3 linked regions of the Arabidopsis thaliana genome follow. The main gene of each other region encodes a partner of the protein of the gene in region 2 in a complex. Each region holds a gene or a part of one and is shown on either strand. Other genes may lie near its edges.

What was found.
Region 1: MAD2 (region 2) and MAD1 share a complex: the UniProt entries of both Arabidopsis thaliana proteins name them as parts of the mitotic checkpoint complex.
Region 3: MAD2 (region 2) and BUBR1 share a complex: the UniProt entries of both Arabidopsis thaliana proteins name them as parts of the mitotic checkpoint complex.

The regions. Positions count from the first base shown.
Region 1 is NC_003076.8:20,280,098-20,288,110, forward strand, and holds MAD1 (mitotic checkpoint family protein), read left to right. Parts: upstream 1-2,013; 5' UTR 2,014-2,207; coding exon 2,208-2,402; intron 2,403-2,478; coding exon 2,479-2,578; intron 2,579-2,678; coding exon 2,679-2,839; intron 2,840-2,923; coding exon 2,924-3,121; intron 3,122-3,218; coding exon 3,219-3,311; intron 3,312-3,416; coding exon 3,417-3,533; intron 3,534-4,115; coding exon 4,116-4,363; intron 4,364-4,712; coding exon 4,713-4,884; intron 4,885-5,580; coding exon 5,581-5,691; intron 5,692-5,775; coding exon 5,776-5,979; intron 5,980-6,233; coding exon 6,234-6,396; intron 6,397-6,683; coding exon 6,684-6,774; intron 6,775-6,870; coding exon 6,871-6,940; intron 6,941-7,253; coding exon 7,254-7,382; intron 7,383-7,465; coding exon 7,466-7,504; intron 7,505-7,588; coding exon 7,589-7,678; 3' UTR 7,679-7,987; downstream 7,988-8,013. UniProt on the Arabidopsis thaliana protein: Required for the execution of the mitotic checkpoint which monitors the process of kinetochore-spindle attachment and delays the onset of anaphase when this process is not complete.
Region 2 is NC_003074.8:9,501,338-9,505,177, reverse strand, and holds MAD2 (DNA-binding HORMA family protein), read right to left. Parts: upstream 2,123-3,840; 5' UTR 1,947-2,122; coding exon 1,871-1,946; coding exon of another isoform or gene 1,867-1,870; exon of another isoform or gene 1,783-1,866; coding exon 1,767-1,782; exon of another isoform or gene 1,666-1,766; coding exon 1,535-1,665; intron 1,453-1,534; coding exon 1,332-1,452; intron 1,238-1,331; coding exon 1,134-1,237; intron 1,039-1,133; coding exon 917-1,038; intron 836-916; coding exon 776-835; 3' UTR 508-775; downstream 1-507. Other genes in the region: AT3G25990 (Homeodomain-like superfamily protein), read left to right, coding at 1-52, 130-332; AT3G25970 (Pentatricopeptide repeat (PPR) superfamily protein), read left to right, coding at 2,957-3,840. UniProt on the Arabidopsis thaliana protein: Required for the execution of the mitotic checkpoint which monitors the process of kinetochore-spindle attachment and delays the onset of anaphase when this process is not complete.
Region 3 is NC_003071.7:14,213,104-14,217,626, forward strand, and holds BUBR1 (BUB1-related (BUB1: budding uninhibited by benzymidazol 1)), read right to left. Parts: upstream 2,952-4,523; 5' UTR 2,816-2,951; coding exon 2,616-2,815; intron 2,528-2,615; coding exon 2,468-2,527; intron 2,352-2,467; coding exon 2,207-2,351; intron 2,119-2,206; coding exon 1,961-2,118; intron 1,880-1,960; coding exon 1,795-1,879; intron 1,706-1,794; coding exon 1,636-1,705; intron 1,560-1,635; coding exon 1,499-1,559; intron 1,382-1,498; coding exon 1,207-1,381; intron 1,113-1,206; coding exon 1,027-1,112; intron 953-1,026; coding exon 866-952; intron 771-865; coding exon 707-770; 3' UTR 501-706; downstream 1-500. Other genes in the region: GALS1 (glycosyltransferase family protein (DUF23)), read left to right, coding at 4,258-4,523. UniProt on the Arabidopsis thaliana protein: Essential component of the mitotic checkpoint. Required for normal mitosis progression. The mitotic checkpoint delays anaphase until all chromosomes are properly attached to the mitotic spindle.

The DNA.
Region 1 (8,013 bases), on a different chromosome or scaffold from region 2:
AAATCCGTCTTGCCAAAAAGCCATTTATTTTATTAATATTGATTTTATTTATGATATAAGTCTGAATTATAATCTAAACATTTTAGCTAATAACATAGGAGTGCACCATATTTATTTAATAGGGGAATGTACCATATGACCCGAATGCACTTTTACCCAAATCCACCAAAAAAGTCTTGCAAAACTACTATAGACCCGAATGTACCATATTTTTTTGTGCTAATTTTTATGTGATTAAGATTTAATTGATTTCGTATATAAAATATTAAATTGTTTTACGAACTTATTTGTTTATAATTTGGTAACAGATAGATAATTGAATATTCAGTATATTTTGCTTCAGTTTAGGAAATCTTTAATGACCCGTCTTTAAATCCAATAAGCCCTATAATTAAGAGATGAATATTGTCGTTAAATGATTTTGGTAATCTTAATGATGTCATTAAAAGATTTTGTTTTTGATTAAATTTTTCTAATGGCATTGTCATGTAATTAATTACAAAAATTAAGGTTACATTTAAAATGTACTTCCCAAATAATATAGTAGGACGATATGCACTTTTATCCAAATCCACCAAAAAAGTCTTGCAAATATACTATAGAGATAAGAAACGATAGTCGGTTTTGATAGGTATATGATTAGCAAATATATTAGTTCGCTTAAATTAGTTAAAGAATACAAATTGAAAAGGTATATTACACTTTATTCGAATATAGTATCAAAACTTATATAGAGATTTGATAAATTTTTAATTGTTGAATACTTTTTTTTTGTGCTAATTTTATGTGATTAAGATTTAGTTGATTTCGTATATAAAATATTAAATTGTTTTACGAACTTATTTGTTTATAATTTGGTAACAGATAGATATTTGAATATTCAGTATATTTTGCTTCAGTTTAGGAAATCTTTGATGAGTTGTCTTTAGATCCAATAAGCCCTGTAATCTAGATATTAACTTGCAGTATACCGCAGGTAGGCTTATATTTTAGTTCAACTAAAAACTTTTATTGTAAAGATGATTTAAAAATATATGATATTATTTTATTTGATTTTAAATGTATAGTAAACTGTGAGTTGTATATATTTTTTGATATTATCTATATTGTTTAGTGTTTAAGATTATACACTTGTAGTTTGATTGTTAATTTAAGAGTTTCACCTGTAGTATACCATCTTGTATTAATATCGATCTAATCCCGTCAATTCTAGGATTTTCCAGCTTGTATTAAAAATTGAATCACATCTAATATGTTATTAATTATTGTAGTATATAAGATTATAAATTTTCAATATAATATGTATGAAATTGAATATAAATATTTCAAATTATGACATGTTACTCAGTAGAAAGTTTTCTTAAATCTATTTTTCACCCGTTATAATATTTTTTCATGTATTGAACAGTTTATATTCGTTTTTAAAAATTCAAATTATGGCATATGCGAAAAAACTCTAATTATTTTTCTATAATGATGATATTATTTTTCGGCAAAAATAGAATCATATAAAGATGAGAAGTAAACTATAATAATTAATAAAAAATTAATATGATAATTTAGATATCAAATCTAATTTGTTGATTTTAATTGGTTACTTTTTTGGGAATTAATAATGTATTTTGTTTTTCTAATTAAATTAAATTAATTAAAATTTAGATATCAAATCTTATATGTTGATTTTGATTGGTTATTATTTTTGGAAATTAATAATGTATTTCGTTTTTAATTAAATTTAATTAATTAAATTAGTATTTGACTTTTTAATCCTCAAAGAGATAAATTAATTTACTCTTTAAAATTTTATTTCTAATGACATACCTATGTAATTACTTACAAAAATTAAAGTTATATTTAAAATGTACTTCCCAAATAATATAGTAGGATGAATCTAATAACCCAAAATTTATAAAGATTTAAATTATAATCAACAGTTTGATCATCTTGTTCATACAAAATTTCGTATAAGACATTAATTAACAAAGCAAAAAATCATATATCAAAATAGACACATATTAACAAAGGATTAATAATTTAATAGTTGTGAAAAGCCTTTCCAGTTTCTTCCACGGCCTAGCTCCTCCGTCTTTACGCTCTCTCATCAAACTCGAGAAAAAAAAGTGGCGCCTCTGCAATTTCAATTTTCAAATCCTAATAATTTTTCTCTCGCTTCCCGGAGAACGGAACCCTAATTTCTCGACGCAGACATGATTTTGAGAACTCCGCAGCCGAAGAGGCTCAGGTCCGACGCCGGAGAAAGCCCCTTCCCCACCGGCGCTACTGGTTCCGGCAATCAGCTAATCATCTACGAAGATTCTCCTCTTCCTGCTCCTGCTCCGCTACAAACTTCTCATGATCATTCGGCGGATCAACATCTTTGCACCTATCAATGCCGCCAAATGGTCACTACTTATACCTATCTATCTATATCCCCTCACGAAGATTAGCGAATCTGAGGTTTGTTCTTGTTGTTGTTAGGTTAAAGCTGATGTTCTAGATGCCTTGAGCACAGCAGAGAAACAAGTTGAGGAATCTAAAACCAAATTACAGACTCTTAATGCCAACTTCACCGAAGCAGGTGAGAGATCGTTTGTGAATTCGAAATTACAAAGGTCTTGATTCCGAATGTCTCTGCTTTAACTGTTGTTAACGAATTTGATTTTGATATTCTACAACAGATGCTGAAAGAAAGCATTTTCGAGATAAATTCTTATACTCAGAGCAAGAGCTTGCTGCTGCTAAAGCGCGTGAGAAAATGCTTCAGGAGCAGCTTCTTATGGAGATCAACAATTCTCAAGAGCGGTATACCAAAGAACTACAATCTTGCCATGAACTGGAGGTTGATCTAACTATTAAATTGACTTGAAATTTCTCGTTTTACTTGGTGTCATTGGTGCCAGTATCATTAACTGAATCCTTATAGGTAAAACTTCAAAATGAAATGAACCTTCGAAAGAAAGCGGAGTCTTCTGCTGCAACAGCTGAGGAAAAAGCTAAACTTTTGGAGGATAAACTAACTCAGCTATCTGGAAGTGTGGACAGGGAGAAGAAACGTCTCAACAATGATATTGCTCAACTGGGTAAAGAAGCAAAGCTTTCTGTGGCTAGGATTGGTGCAGATGTAAGTATCGATTAAGAAACTTGATAGCTTGACTGAAGTTTTGTTTTTGGTTTCTCATGCAATTATCGTATTTGCACCTGTTTTCCTTTGCTTTTAGCTTGAAAGGATGCAATGTAGGGCACAAAATGCTGAGACGGAATCAAATCTTTTAAGATCACAACTGGAGCATCTTAAACTGATATTTGACGAGGTAAGCTATGTTTGACGTGCATCTTAGATAATAATAACACCAGTCATAAGTCATCATTTGCTTTGGTAATTTATTTTGCTTTCTCATATGATTCTTTTTATGCAGTGTTTGCAAGAAAAGACTGAAGTAGACAAGAAGCTATCGTCATTCACTTCGGAGGCAGCATCTTCTTCAGATAACAGTGTATTGGTTAAACATCTTCAGGAAGAACTTAAACGCTATGTAAGTTTTACCAGTTCTTAGTCTACCCGAGTAATGATTTTACAAAGTTGTTACATAAGATGAATCATTTATTGAAAATGAGTATGAAAGTGGTCAGGACATTGATCATAACTCTCTGTTTTATTCACCAATAGAAGCTGTACTCGTTCTTGATTACCATGAGAAACTTTGCATTACATACCCAGAATCAATGATTTCTATTTTCTGTTGATTACTCTCATAAGCAGCAAATCACGGAGAGAGATTATGCAAGTTTTTAAACACTTGAAATTTACTCAAAACACTCGTTAAATTTTTTTTCTTAAAATGGTCGTCTTATTTACTTAGGCTATCTAAGACAATTCATAAGTAAAAGAGTTTACTTTTCAAGAAAAGTGAGGTAATATAGAATGATGTATTTTTCATGTAACACTAGTTATGCAAGTCAAATTTTAATTTGATCGTAAATTCGACTCACATACTTTTCATCATTTGAAGACATGTACTATTTGTAGATTCTATTTTCGACTTCTATACTTTCCATGTAATATCTATTTAGTTTTTGTTTTTCTTGTCGATTTTGATTCTTGATAATTGTATCAGGAAGCTGAAGTGCGAGAAGCTAGAAAGTTAAAATCACGGCATTTAGATGCGGAGTTGTTGAATGTGAACTTATTAGAAGAACAAAGCCGTAGGGAGAGGGCAGAGTCAGAGTTATCAAAATTTCATGACTTGCAGCTAAGCATGGAAAAGTTGGAGAATGAATTGTCCTCTTGGAAGTCATTGCTAAATGACATTCCTGGTGTGTCCTGTCCTGATGACATAGTTATGAGATTCTCGGTGCTACAGAAGTATGTCAACATGATCTATACAGAATTTATCTTTTCACTAGAGTCTTCTTCTGATATTGTTTCAAATAATTATGCCTGCCATGAAATATTCTGTGCGGAGAGACTGAGGTAGTTGTTACGGGGCATTTTCCTGACTTTATAGGTGAACTAGATAGTATTTATCAGAGACATCTGTAACACCACTTTGTCCAGATATGGCTTTATATTTTACAGATATTCTGGCTTGCTAGTCTAGCAGGTCTAATGTGTCTGTGAGCATCTAGAGTATTGATTTCTAGTTTACCAAGCACTCTGAGTTAACACATGTATCTATGATACTTCCTAGTGACTTGTGTTTCTGCCTTTGAAGTGAGGTGGTTCAAAGCACTATGAAGATTGGGGAAGCAAGTACCCGTATTAAACAACTGGAGGAGACACTGGAGGCTATACAACTTGGCAGACAGAATGCTGTAAGTGAGGCTGCATTAGCGAAAGAGAAATCTGAGGCTCTCAAAACAGACGTGAAGAGAATTGAAGTAATGGTAAGTTTGAAAATTGTTGCTGGTGCTCTGTAAGGGGTCACAAATGCACTTTTATTTTGCTGGCATCAATTAAAGCCTCTTAAGTTGATTTTTGATTCTCGAGAGATAAAGGATAGCATTTTCAATTGGTGACACTCAAATGCTCATCATTTTATATTCATTATTCTTGTTTATTGATTGTTTGCTTGGTTTCTCTAGGTTCACTGTCTTTGCTTGGATATATACTAGCTCAGCTCTGTATTTCATGTTGATTGTTGATCTATGCATTCATAAGAAGCTGATAGAAGTAATATAGTTAGAGACGATATTCATAGGATAATATCCCTAGTATTTTTGGATGTTCACGTTGGGTTTGTTATCAATTAGTACAGATTTAATATCTCTATATATGTGGGGAAAGTCTGTTTGTTCCTAATGAGTGTATTCAATTGTTAGATTTTGGTGCAAATTCCTTCGTATCCAAACATGAGTCTATCACGAATTTATGATGAGTTGATTTATCCATAATATAGTGTCCTTTCAGGATAAGAGATAATGTGTGTAGTATAGAATTTGTTGCAAACAACTTTTTATTTAATCATGAATCTATCACAATTCAAGGGAATTAAGTTTATAGTGTCTCATTGGAGGTAACTTTTTATAATTTTCTATCAGTTTGTTGCACTATTACTAACAGAGCTTTAATTTGTAATAAAGCTCACTTTGGTCACGGAGGAGAAAGAACAGTTGAAAGCTGTTGTTAATGAATTAAGGAAGTCAAACAGTGAAGGATCTGTGTCTGGAGCCGCAGATGGAGCCCTTATTCAGGTTCTAGAATAACACAGTTCTTATTTTGAAGATTTTCCTTCTTTTTTGTTGGAAGCATAAAGCTTATTTTGCTTATATATACAGGGGTTTGAATCTTCTCTTGCAAAGAAGGAGAACTATATTAAGGATTTAGAGCAGGATCTAAATCAACTGAAGGATGTCAATAATCGTCAACGTACTGAAATAGAACTTCTAAATGAGAAACTAGTTGATGAAGCAAGGAGGAATAAGTCGCTGGAAAGGGATAGTGATCGTCTTCGCTCTGAGATCTCTTTACTGGAGTCAAAGGTACAGATGCTAGAGATGTGTGCTTGTAAAAAAGATTGCCAAAGAAAATATTTGCTTATGGAACTTTCATCTGCCATGGTCGAAATGAATAATAAAAGTTTTTAAGGGTGAATGGCGAATTTTATGTCCTGCATCTTATGTTTTTCTTAGGTTTCATGGAAGATTTTATTATTGTAAAAGCGAATAGAAATGCTATTTAGGACCTCTAACTTCTACCCTAGAGTTTGATCTGAACAGTAACATATATTTGGCAGCTGGGTCATGGTGATTATTCTGCCGCAAATACAAGGGTTTTGCGCATGGTGAATACTCTTGGTGTTGAAAACGAGGCAAAACAAACAATAGAGGCTTTACAAGCTGAGTTACAGAAGACAAAAGAAAGACTTCAAGCTGTTGAAGAATTAAAGAGCCAGTCTGGTAAATTTCTGATTGTCGACCTTTCCTGTTTTTGATACTGAGTTTGCTACAAGTCTACCATTCAATTTTACTCTCACCACAAAATTCACTGGAGAAGCATACCTTAATTTCTCTGTGACCCTATTCTCTACATCATATTCTATGTTTCCGAGAATAAAAGGGAGGGCCAAAATCTTTCTGTTGATCTGCCTCCGGAGGACTTGAGAAGAAATATTGTAGTGTTTCAAAAATGTTATTCTTATTTACTAAATATGCTTTACTGTAAATTCTTTTTCATGAATATTCAGGAGATGCTGGGAAGCTAGTTGACTCTCATATAACTGGAAAGATTGCTCAACTAAAAGAGCAAAATGCTACGCTTGAAAAACGTGAAGAGAGGTTTGTTACTGATAAATGTTTAACATGTCCTTTGTGCAAATATGACCTTGATTTCCCATACTAAAACATATGTGGAGCCTATGAATTATGAAACAGGTACAAAACTGTTTTTGCTGATAGAATTTCCGTGTTTAGAAGGGCTTGTTGTGAGCTTTTTGGTTATAAGGTATGCCACTTGCTCATAATTATGTCGTAGCACTCAAATTTTATTCTTTAGCATTACAATGGTTCCCTGAAGGCAATGATTCTGGATATTTCAGTTTTCTGAATGTTGACTATCACATTGTAAAATGTAATGTTCGTACTTTTGTCCATTTTTTACGGTCTATGAACTGCGCGTTTCTGTTGCAAAGAGGGATTCAGCTATTGCTATCTATAGTTTTCCTTACCTTCCGTTATTCGTGTAGATAGATGATCAAAGAGTCTTATTCATCTACAGAACTTGTAAACTTGTGAATTCCTTTTGAAAACTCTGGCAGATTGTAATGGACGAACATCAGCGTCCCAATGGAATCCCAGTGACTCGGTTTACTCTCCAGTCTATATATGCTCAAAGTGATGATGAAAAACTCGAGTTTGAATACGAGTCAGGAAACACCAGTATTCTAGTAAGTGATTCTTGTAAATTGTATAACTTTGATATGCTGCATTTGAATCAGTTAATCAACTGATACTGATTTAATTCCTTCAGAACAATGAGTATGCCTCTCAGGGCGACATAGCGAAGCAGGTAAAGTACAGACATAGTTTTCTTCCTTCATAAGCGCAGTGTTCTCAGTGAAGTGTAAAAACTCATTCTGTGTGTTTCTTGCAGATAGAAATATTCATCAGGAAATTCAACTCGATTCCAGCTTTTACAGCCAACTTAACGATGGAATCATTCAACCGTCGGACGCTATATTGAGAGCACTGCGTCCTTATTTCCAACTCTGTGTTTTGTATATTTCTAAAGCCTGCTGAATAGAAACTGAAACTCGAAAGCCGCAGCTTAAAACACTGGCCTTATCTATGTCTACCTCTGGTTCGTTATGTCTGCTATAATTGTGGTGTCAGTAACTCTATTTTGGTATGAAAGAAACTAGTTTCGATTTACTCAGAAAGAATATCTAATGTCATTCTCTGATTATGCGTTTATTACTTTATAGTCACCAAAAACAGTAACACTTGAATATCAAGCAAACAGATTTTTATATAACCATGAATTTAAAACACAAATAATACACAGACTACCTACATGTA
Region 2 (3,840 bases):
TCTCTTGACCGAGACATGCCTTTAGGGAACTATATACTCCGCATTGATGAAGGTAAATCCACTCTTTCTTCTATGCTATTCATCGAATACTCTCTGGTTAGAGGTTTCTCAATATCCATTTGAATTCAGGGATAGCCGTTAGAGTGTGCCACTATGATGAATCTGATCCGTTACCAGTCCATCAAGAGGAGAAGATATTCTACACCGAAGAAGATTACCGAGATTTCTTGGCTCGACGAGGATGGACATGTCTGAGAGAGTTTGACGCGTTTCAAAACATAGACAATATGGACGAGCTTCAATCCGGTCGCTTATACAGAGGAATGAGATGAGAAAACGGTTACTACAGAAGGCTAGAAGAAACCTTTTATTTTTCATCAGTCACTATAAATAGCTTTTTTTGATCCAAAATACTTTATTTTCATCAGTCACTGTACATATGCACCTCTTTTGACATGCCATTGTGAATCAGAGGAATTTGATTTGTTTATTGAGAAATCTCTTTTTGATCCAAGAGCCATAAAGTTTGATTGGTAAACAAAACGGTTCAGTACAAGAGACAGGGACAATGAAAAAGCTGATAACTTTTGAACAAAACACAACACAAGTACAGGATTCCAATTCTCATACAATTCAGAAAAAGAAAAAAAACAGAAGAGAAAACGATATAGGTGTGTGAATAAAGGATTCACGTGCCTTTAAGAACAATGAGAACTCCCAAAGAGATAAACGCAAGCTGAACAAAGAGCCTTGCATACGTGTGTCCCGACTTCTGTTACTCTTCTTCATCCCACTCGTCGTTCTTGTATGAGACAAGCGTGTCGACTTTGTGAATCTGCAAAGTATGAAACCACCAAAATACTTAGACATTTCAAAGTGTATAAATAAAGGTTTCAAAATTCTTCCTCCTCCTTACCTTGGTATCAAAACCGTGTAACTTAACCATCTGTGGATTAGCAATCAACTTCGGGTCGCTCTCGATCCAAGTGAATGGAACAGCCACATCAGTATCCGTATACGCCAATACATCAAACACACCTAATACAAACAACATGCACAATCAAAAACGAGAATCCAAATCAAACTAGTTCCGAAATGATGATCACTCAAAGTTCCTATGAATTGGTTCTTACATGTTTCATCAAGACAAGGCAAGTAAGTAACACTTGAAGCAACCTGTCTCATAATAGCTTGAATCTCCCTCATGATCTCCTTATCACTCTTCTCCCTCGACACACTAAAAAGTTCCATAAAGATAACATAATGAAACAAAGAATCAAAGAAAACAAACAAACTTGCGAAAGTATCAACACTAAAAACAAAAAACTGACCCTTTGTCAACAACTTCATTATCAGTCTCAATACGAAAATTCCACCTCTCCAAGACTTCACCAGTAGCTTTACTCATAATCACTAACACTACTCTCTGCAACTTCCCAGCTTCAAGCCATTCTTTAGACCAAAAACAAAATCAAGTCTCAGACTCTCTCACAAAAGGAATCATTGAATAAAAGTCTGACATTTGTAAAATTACCGGAGATCTGAGAAGTGAGATTAGACATGAAAGATTTGACGGATTCATCTTCAATAAGCAACATCGGAAGTCCATATTTCTTCACTTTCACAAAACTTTCCTCTGGATAAACTGCACGATTATACAATATACTGTACCCAGAAACCAATAACGAATCAATTTCACTGTAAAAAAATCACAGAATCGAAGATTTCCAGACACTGAAATTGAAAAGTTCCGATCCAATTCTCACCTGTTCGCAGCGTAACCTGGAGGAAGAAGAAGAAGGAAAAAAAAAACATCAAATCGAGAAGAAGATATCTGAAATTGAGTCTAAGAAAAAATGAAGATACGTACAGAAGAATTCGCTGACGATGGCAGCAGATCCGTGTAAAGTGATGATATCTTTAGCAGCCGCTGTTTTGGACGCCATGGAGTCTAAGGATCGGTGATTTTGAAAATTGAATTCGCAAGTGTTAACAGCGTCGCTTAGGGTTTTAATGATTTTGAAGGGAAAAAAAGATATTTGAGGGAAGGATTAAAAAGAAGGAAAGAAAGAAAAAGAAAAAAAAAGGAATAAGAGCGTAACGGCTAGTCTTCCTCGGAAATGCACTTGCAACGGCTAGTTTGGGTTATTATAGTTTAAGGTCGAATCCACTAATTTTTTTTAAAAAAACAATATAATATCATTACCAGAATTTTTAAAATATCAAATATAAAAAAACAACAAATTATTTTTAGCCAATAGCAACATCTCTACAAACCATTGTAATAATTATTATTTTTGGTTTGCAACACATTTTACATTTAAAAGAAATACACCAAATATTAAATATATAATAACTTTGTTTTAAAAATTTAATAGAAAAGTCCATAGTTTTCTGCCATACGGATTTAGACTCGCCATGTGGTTTTTAACTTTTAAGCCGTATGTCTCTTTGATAAACGAATGAAGCATCAATCAAAATTTTAAGAAGCCTTTTAAGTGTTGAAAGGTAAATTTTGTAGTTTCTATTGGTAAATCGACTCATCTATGACTTTTTTTTTTAAATAGATTTCAAATATACTTCATATATATGTATATATAAATTTATGTCGTGACACCCATGACCGAAATCTAGAAAAAAAAAAAAAAAAAACTAAGGTATTTTTTTCCAGTCTAACTGAAAAAATACAATTTTACAAATAACTCAAACTTCAAATGTGTTTTGATTTACTTAATTAAGCCATTATTAATCCACATAAGGTTATTAACACAAATTTATCAAACTAACTAGCCACTTGATAATCCATTACTAGGTAAATTCAGGTATATATATAAGTTAATAATAAACTGATTATTTGACCAAAAAAAAGCATAATTAAAATATATTTTTATACATAAATAAAATAAAATAAACTCTCTTTGATGTTGACATCATATGAACACAGAGAAACAGATGAATGAAAGCGTTGTTAGCCTCTCTACTAGAGAGCTCTTTAAACTCTTTCCAAAAGCTTTCACTCACTCACTGTTACGCTATTAAATGTGGTTCCATCTCAGATATATACGTATCCAATCGAATTTTGGATTCTTATATAAAATTTGGCTTCTTGGGTTATGCCAATATGTTGTTCGATGAAATGCCTAAGAGAGATTCCGTGTCTTGGAACACAATGATTTCTGGGTACACAAGCTGTGGGAAATTGGAGGATGCATGGTGTTTATTTACATGTATGAAGAGATCTGGATCTGATGTTGATGGGTATAGTTTTAGTAGGTTGTTGAAAGGGATTGCTTCTGTGAAAAGGTTCGATCTTGGAGAGCAAGTGCATGGTTTGGTTATAAAGGGAGGTTATGAGTGTAATGTGTATGTTGGAAGTTCGCTTGTTGATATGTATGCGAAATGTGAAAGAGTTGAAGATGCTTTTGAGGCTTTTAAGGAGATTTCAGAGCCTAACTCTGTTTCATGGAATGCTTTGATTGCTGGATTTGTGCAAGTGCGAGATATCAAGACTGCTTTTTGGTTGTTGGGTTTGATGGAGATGAAAGCTGCTGTGACTATGGATGCTGGCACTTTCGCTCCACTTCTTACTTTGCTTGATGATCCTATGTTTTGTAACTTGTTAAAGCAAGTTCATGCTAAGGTTTTGAAACTCGGGCTTCAACACGAGATCACTATATGCAATGCGATGATCAGCTCTTATGCAGATTGTGGGTCAGTATCAGATGCAAAGAGAGTTTTTGATGGCTTGGGTGGCTCAAAAGACTTGATTTCGTGGAATTCGATGATTGCAGGTTTCTCTAAACATGAGCTAAAGGAATCTGCTTTTGAACTGTTTATTCA
Region 3 (4,523 bases), on a different chromosome or scaffold from region 2:
CCCTAAAGGGTAGATTGTGAAATGAAATGATGCCCCTACCACTAACACCAAATAAAATTCCCAAGTTTTTTTTTTCATTTGCCCTTGTTTACCACTCAAAGTCTATCTCCAAAATCGCATCATTCGTTTTTAATCATTAATTTAAATGGCTATTAATGCTTGATTATGTTTTATGCCCCCTCCCATCCGTTTAAAGCCACTTTATTTTCTATGGAAGAAATGCCCAATGGATTGATTATCTTTTCTAGTTTGTACCCATCCATACGTATCCATTGATTTACAATGAAACTCTAGAATTTTTCTAAAACAAAGGTACGCTAGTTGCCTAGACGACTAGACCAAAAAATTATTGGGATCACAAAGTCACTTGCCATATAAACCAATGACTTGGCCACATTTAGGGCATTATTAAAATGATTCCTTAAGTTTAATCATAAGTGGTAATCTAGGTTAATTAGTGGAAATTGATATAAAGTTTTTTTTTGTAGAATGATTACTTTAGGAGAAACAAATCATATAAGGATTGAAACAAGACAAGTCACATTAATTTCAAAACATGAAAGGCACATCATGGTACATAGTAGGATAGTATATCCCAGTACATCACAAAAACAAATCCAAATAGGCAAAAACACACAAGGAGCTTTATAGACAAAAGCTCAAATCTCAAACCATAAGATCGTGTAGAGAAGAAAGTCCAATATCATCATCGTAGGAAGCTGTTGGGTGGGAAATGTCTTAAAGGGTTCTGTCGTAGCAGCTCTGTTTCTCTGCATTTTTTTAAGTAACCATTGTTAGATCTCTACCAAGTCATGATATAATATTTGTTTGGTGAATGAATCTTTAGGGGAATTTTTTTGCTTACTTTTTTATCTCACGGCCGCCATTAAGGGGCAGAACGTTTGATGATGATGAGATAGTTTCATCATTCTTCTTCTTTTCTTCTTCCTCTCTGCATTTCAGAATCATGTTAATGGTGGAAACATGTTTTGTTCAGAAAACTTCTGAAAAATTAGTCAAACTTACTCTGTACATTCTTCTTCATCGACAAAAACCTCAAAGGTGGAAGCAGATGCTGCTGCAACAGTTCTCACAATGGGTTTCTGAGGAACCTGTGACAATAAATATAAATGCAGTTAGTGATCAATTTATAGAGATAGTATGAGCCAAGTGAGATAGTTTTGTTTAGGAGGGTAGAGGGAAAACCTTGAATGATGCCCATTTTCTAGGTAAAGAATTGTTTTCTTTGTTCCTCTCTGCTCTGCCTCCAAGCATGAGCCAACTACCAAACTCTGGTCTTGACTTGTCTGACTCTGGTTGATTCCCTGATGTGGTGTCTGAAACTGCATCTGCGTAGATAGCAAAAGGTGTCTTGGATGATCTGCAAAAGACAAAGTTGCTTACCATAGTGAGTTGCAGAATAATTTAAAGGTATGAGTTGATAGAAAATGCAGATAATGAAAACAACGAGAAATATAGAACCAATCAAACTACTTACTGATTTGGCTTTAGCTTTTTGGCTTGTGGGTTAGAACTTCCTAACGCCTGCCTTCTTGCATCTACAGAAAACATTTTCATGTAAGATAGCTTACCAAAACATTTCAGTGGTTTCCAAGTTAAGTTAATGTGACTCACTATTATCTCCCCTGGACAATAAAGTGCCAAAGCTTCTTGACGGTAAGTCATTATTCTCCTTTGGTTCCTGCTGGTAGGTAGAACATTAATTATGATTAGGAAAAACCTTAGTCCATAATGAATAGATATAAAGTGTTACAAAGAGACAAAACTTTTTACTTCATCAGCTGTGTTGGACCTTCTCATCGTTCTCACCATAAACTTCTTGTACGCGTCATTCAACTTTTCCACTGGCTTTGCATCCCTGCACAAGTTCCCACTTTCAAATCAGACCAATAACTTGGAGCCGAAACATGAAAGTAAGATTACATATCTGTTCATTTACCTAGAGATTCCAAGATTGAAGATCTCATTAGCAGTTTTGACCTTATTCTTAAACTCAATGTGCAAAGCATAAGCTATATAGTAGACAGCATGTGTCTTTCCAATCTCATTGACCTCCAAAAACTTGTAAATCACTTCCGCATCAGCGCAATGCTCCGCCTTCAAAACACACACAAAAACTATGAGTACTCTCTCCATAACAAAGAAAGAATCATCTAGAGGGTTTAATTAAAGATAGAATCATTACATATTCCAACCAGACTTTAAGATAACGAAGATCATCCTTGTAACGTTCAGAGTGCCAAAATTTACGAACACATTGCTCATATATCACTAACAGTCCTGAACATTCTCCTCCTGGTGGAAAAGCCTCTTGTACCCATTTTATACACCTTCCAAAGAAACCAATTAAGAAGCTCAGTTTACAAATTGGTCACAGCATAAAGATTGGTTCAAGAAAAATTTCAATTTTTCAACAACCCAATCAAGAATGATAAAAGGAACTCACTCTATCCATGGAGATAAAGGGTCATCTCCTTCATACTCATCAATGGCTTCAATCAAATTCCTAATTCACAAAAACAACACAAAATTAGACAAGAATCGAGCGATTAGACTAAAACCCAAGAGCAAAGATGTGAGATTGAAATCAGTACCTGCGTTTCTCGATGAGATTCTTTCTCAATTGGTGGTCAGAGTGAGATTTGAGAGCGTGGTTGAGAATACCAACATTGCGACCTCTCTTCAATGGCCGGACGTTCTCCTTGAAAAGCTCCCACTCGTATCCAGTCTCCTGCTTCGAATTAAGAAACTCTGCCTCTGGATCTGAAACCTGAACCTTCGTTTCGGCTGCCATCGTCGTTTCTTCGAGCAAATTTTGAATATCAGAGAGAATATAGCCGTTAGTTTACTCAATGAGAGAGCTTCGCAACTTTTTGCTTTGATGTACGCATACTCGGAGCGTATAGACGCTTTTGATGGGCCTAACTTAGATGGGCCATGATTTGATTTCTTAAACCCATTAAGTGGCCATCTAAACCGAATTGTGTATACTCCTACTACAAATAATCGATAAGAGAAGAAAAATGACAATGAGCGAAAGTAAAATAGTAAAAGAAATGACAGAATACACTTCATTAATTCAATTGGCTGAACAAAATAACACAATAATCCAGAGAAAATTATTTTTACTGTTTTGTTTTCTTCTAAATTAGATGGTTTTGGTCTTTTGGAGAATAACAATCAAAGCAAAAGATAAAAGAGAAGATGTACTCTTTTTTTACCTTCTTTAAATAAATTACGAGCATAATTCACTTTTTGACTTGGAAGCTAAAAAAAAGTTCATCCACAACCACAAGATGCTCTCTGTCTGTCGGTTCAACAAGGGATGATCACATACATTGCGTTACACGCTAAACCTAGTGTGCTCAATTATGAATTCCTAAACAAAACGTACTCAAGATTAGAAGTTGTATACAAAGTCTGTTTTTCCATTGTAACAACTTCCACCGACAATAAAACAGTAACAGTTTATTGAAGAAAATGAAATGAAGAAAACATAATAAAAGAATTGATATTTATGGTATCCTTCAGTTTGGGAATGTGACACACATGATCTCCTTTATTGACGTTTAAGTTTGGAAAAAAAAACAAGTCTTTAAATGCATGCAATCGTATTCGCAATCAATATACATTTTGCTTGTTATTACTAAAGTCTAAAACTAAAAGCCTTTTGCCGTACGTTTAAGAATTCCATAACTGGAAGAACAAATCATGTTTTTAATTCAAATGTTTAAAACAAAGTCTACATTCAAAGGAATTTAGAACACACTTTTTTTTTTTACTTTTTGCTGGGAATTCACAAACTCTTTAACGAGTCTATTCACATTTCACCTTTCCGTGCCCAAACTCATTCGATTTCTCTAACCGAAACTAAATCATCACCAAAGAAGGTACACCGTTACGCCAACTTGCCCAAAGGACCATGTGTCCCCACCATGCTGCCAATTGGGAGCCAGCAATACATAAAACAGACTTGATCCAACTTTTTACAAGTTAGATGCAGTGTCTTTTTCGTAAATCATAATAGATCCAAGCCCATTCTCGTATAACCTCCACCACATCACTCCTCATATCATATGTGAGACAGCCACGAGTCTTCTAATTTCTACACGCCGTGTCGGCAAAGCCTCTCGTCACTTCTCTCTGACGCTTGTCGTCACTTTTGAATTTTTTTAATTTTTAAATAATTGATAACCGAAACGGTGCGTTTTACTCACCGTCGTCGGGAAAAAAAACATGAGGAAGGAAGTTTTGCCGCCGGTGTTATCAACCACCACAGTATGTTTCGAGAAGAAACCAATAATTGCTACATTACTAGCTCTCTCTCTCGTCATGATTGTCTGGAACCTTCCTCCTTACTACCACAACCTCATCTCCACCGCTCGTCCCTGCTCCGCCGTCACCACCACCACCACCACCACCTTACTCTCCTCATCGAACTTCACTTCGGCGGAGAATTTCACCACCTCTCTCTCAACGACAACTGCAGCAGCTTCTCAGAA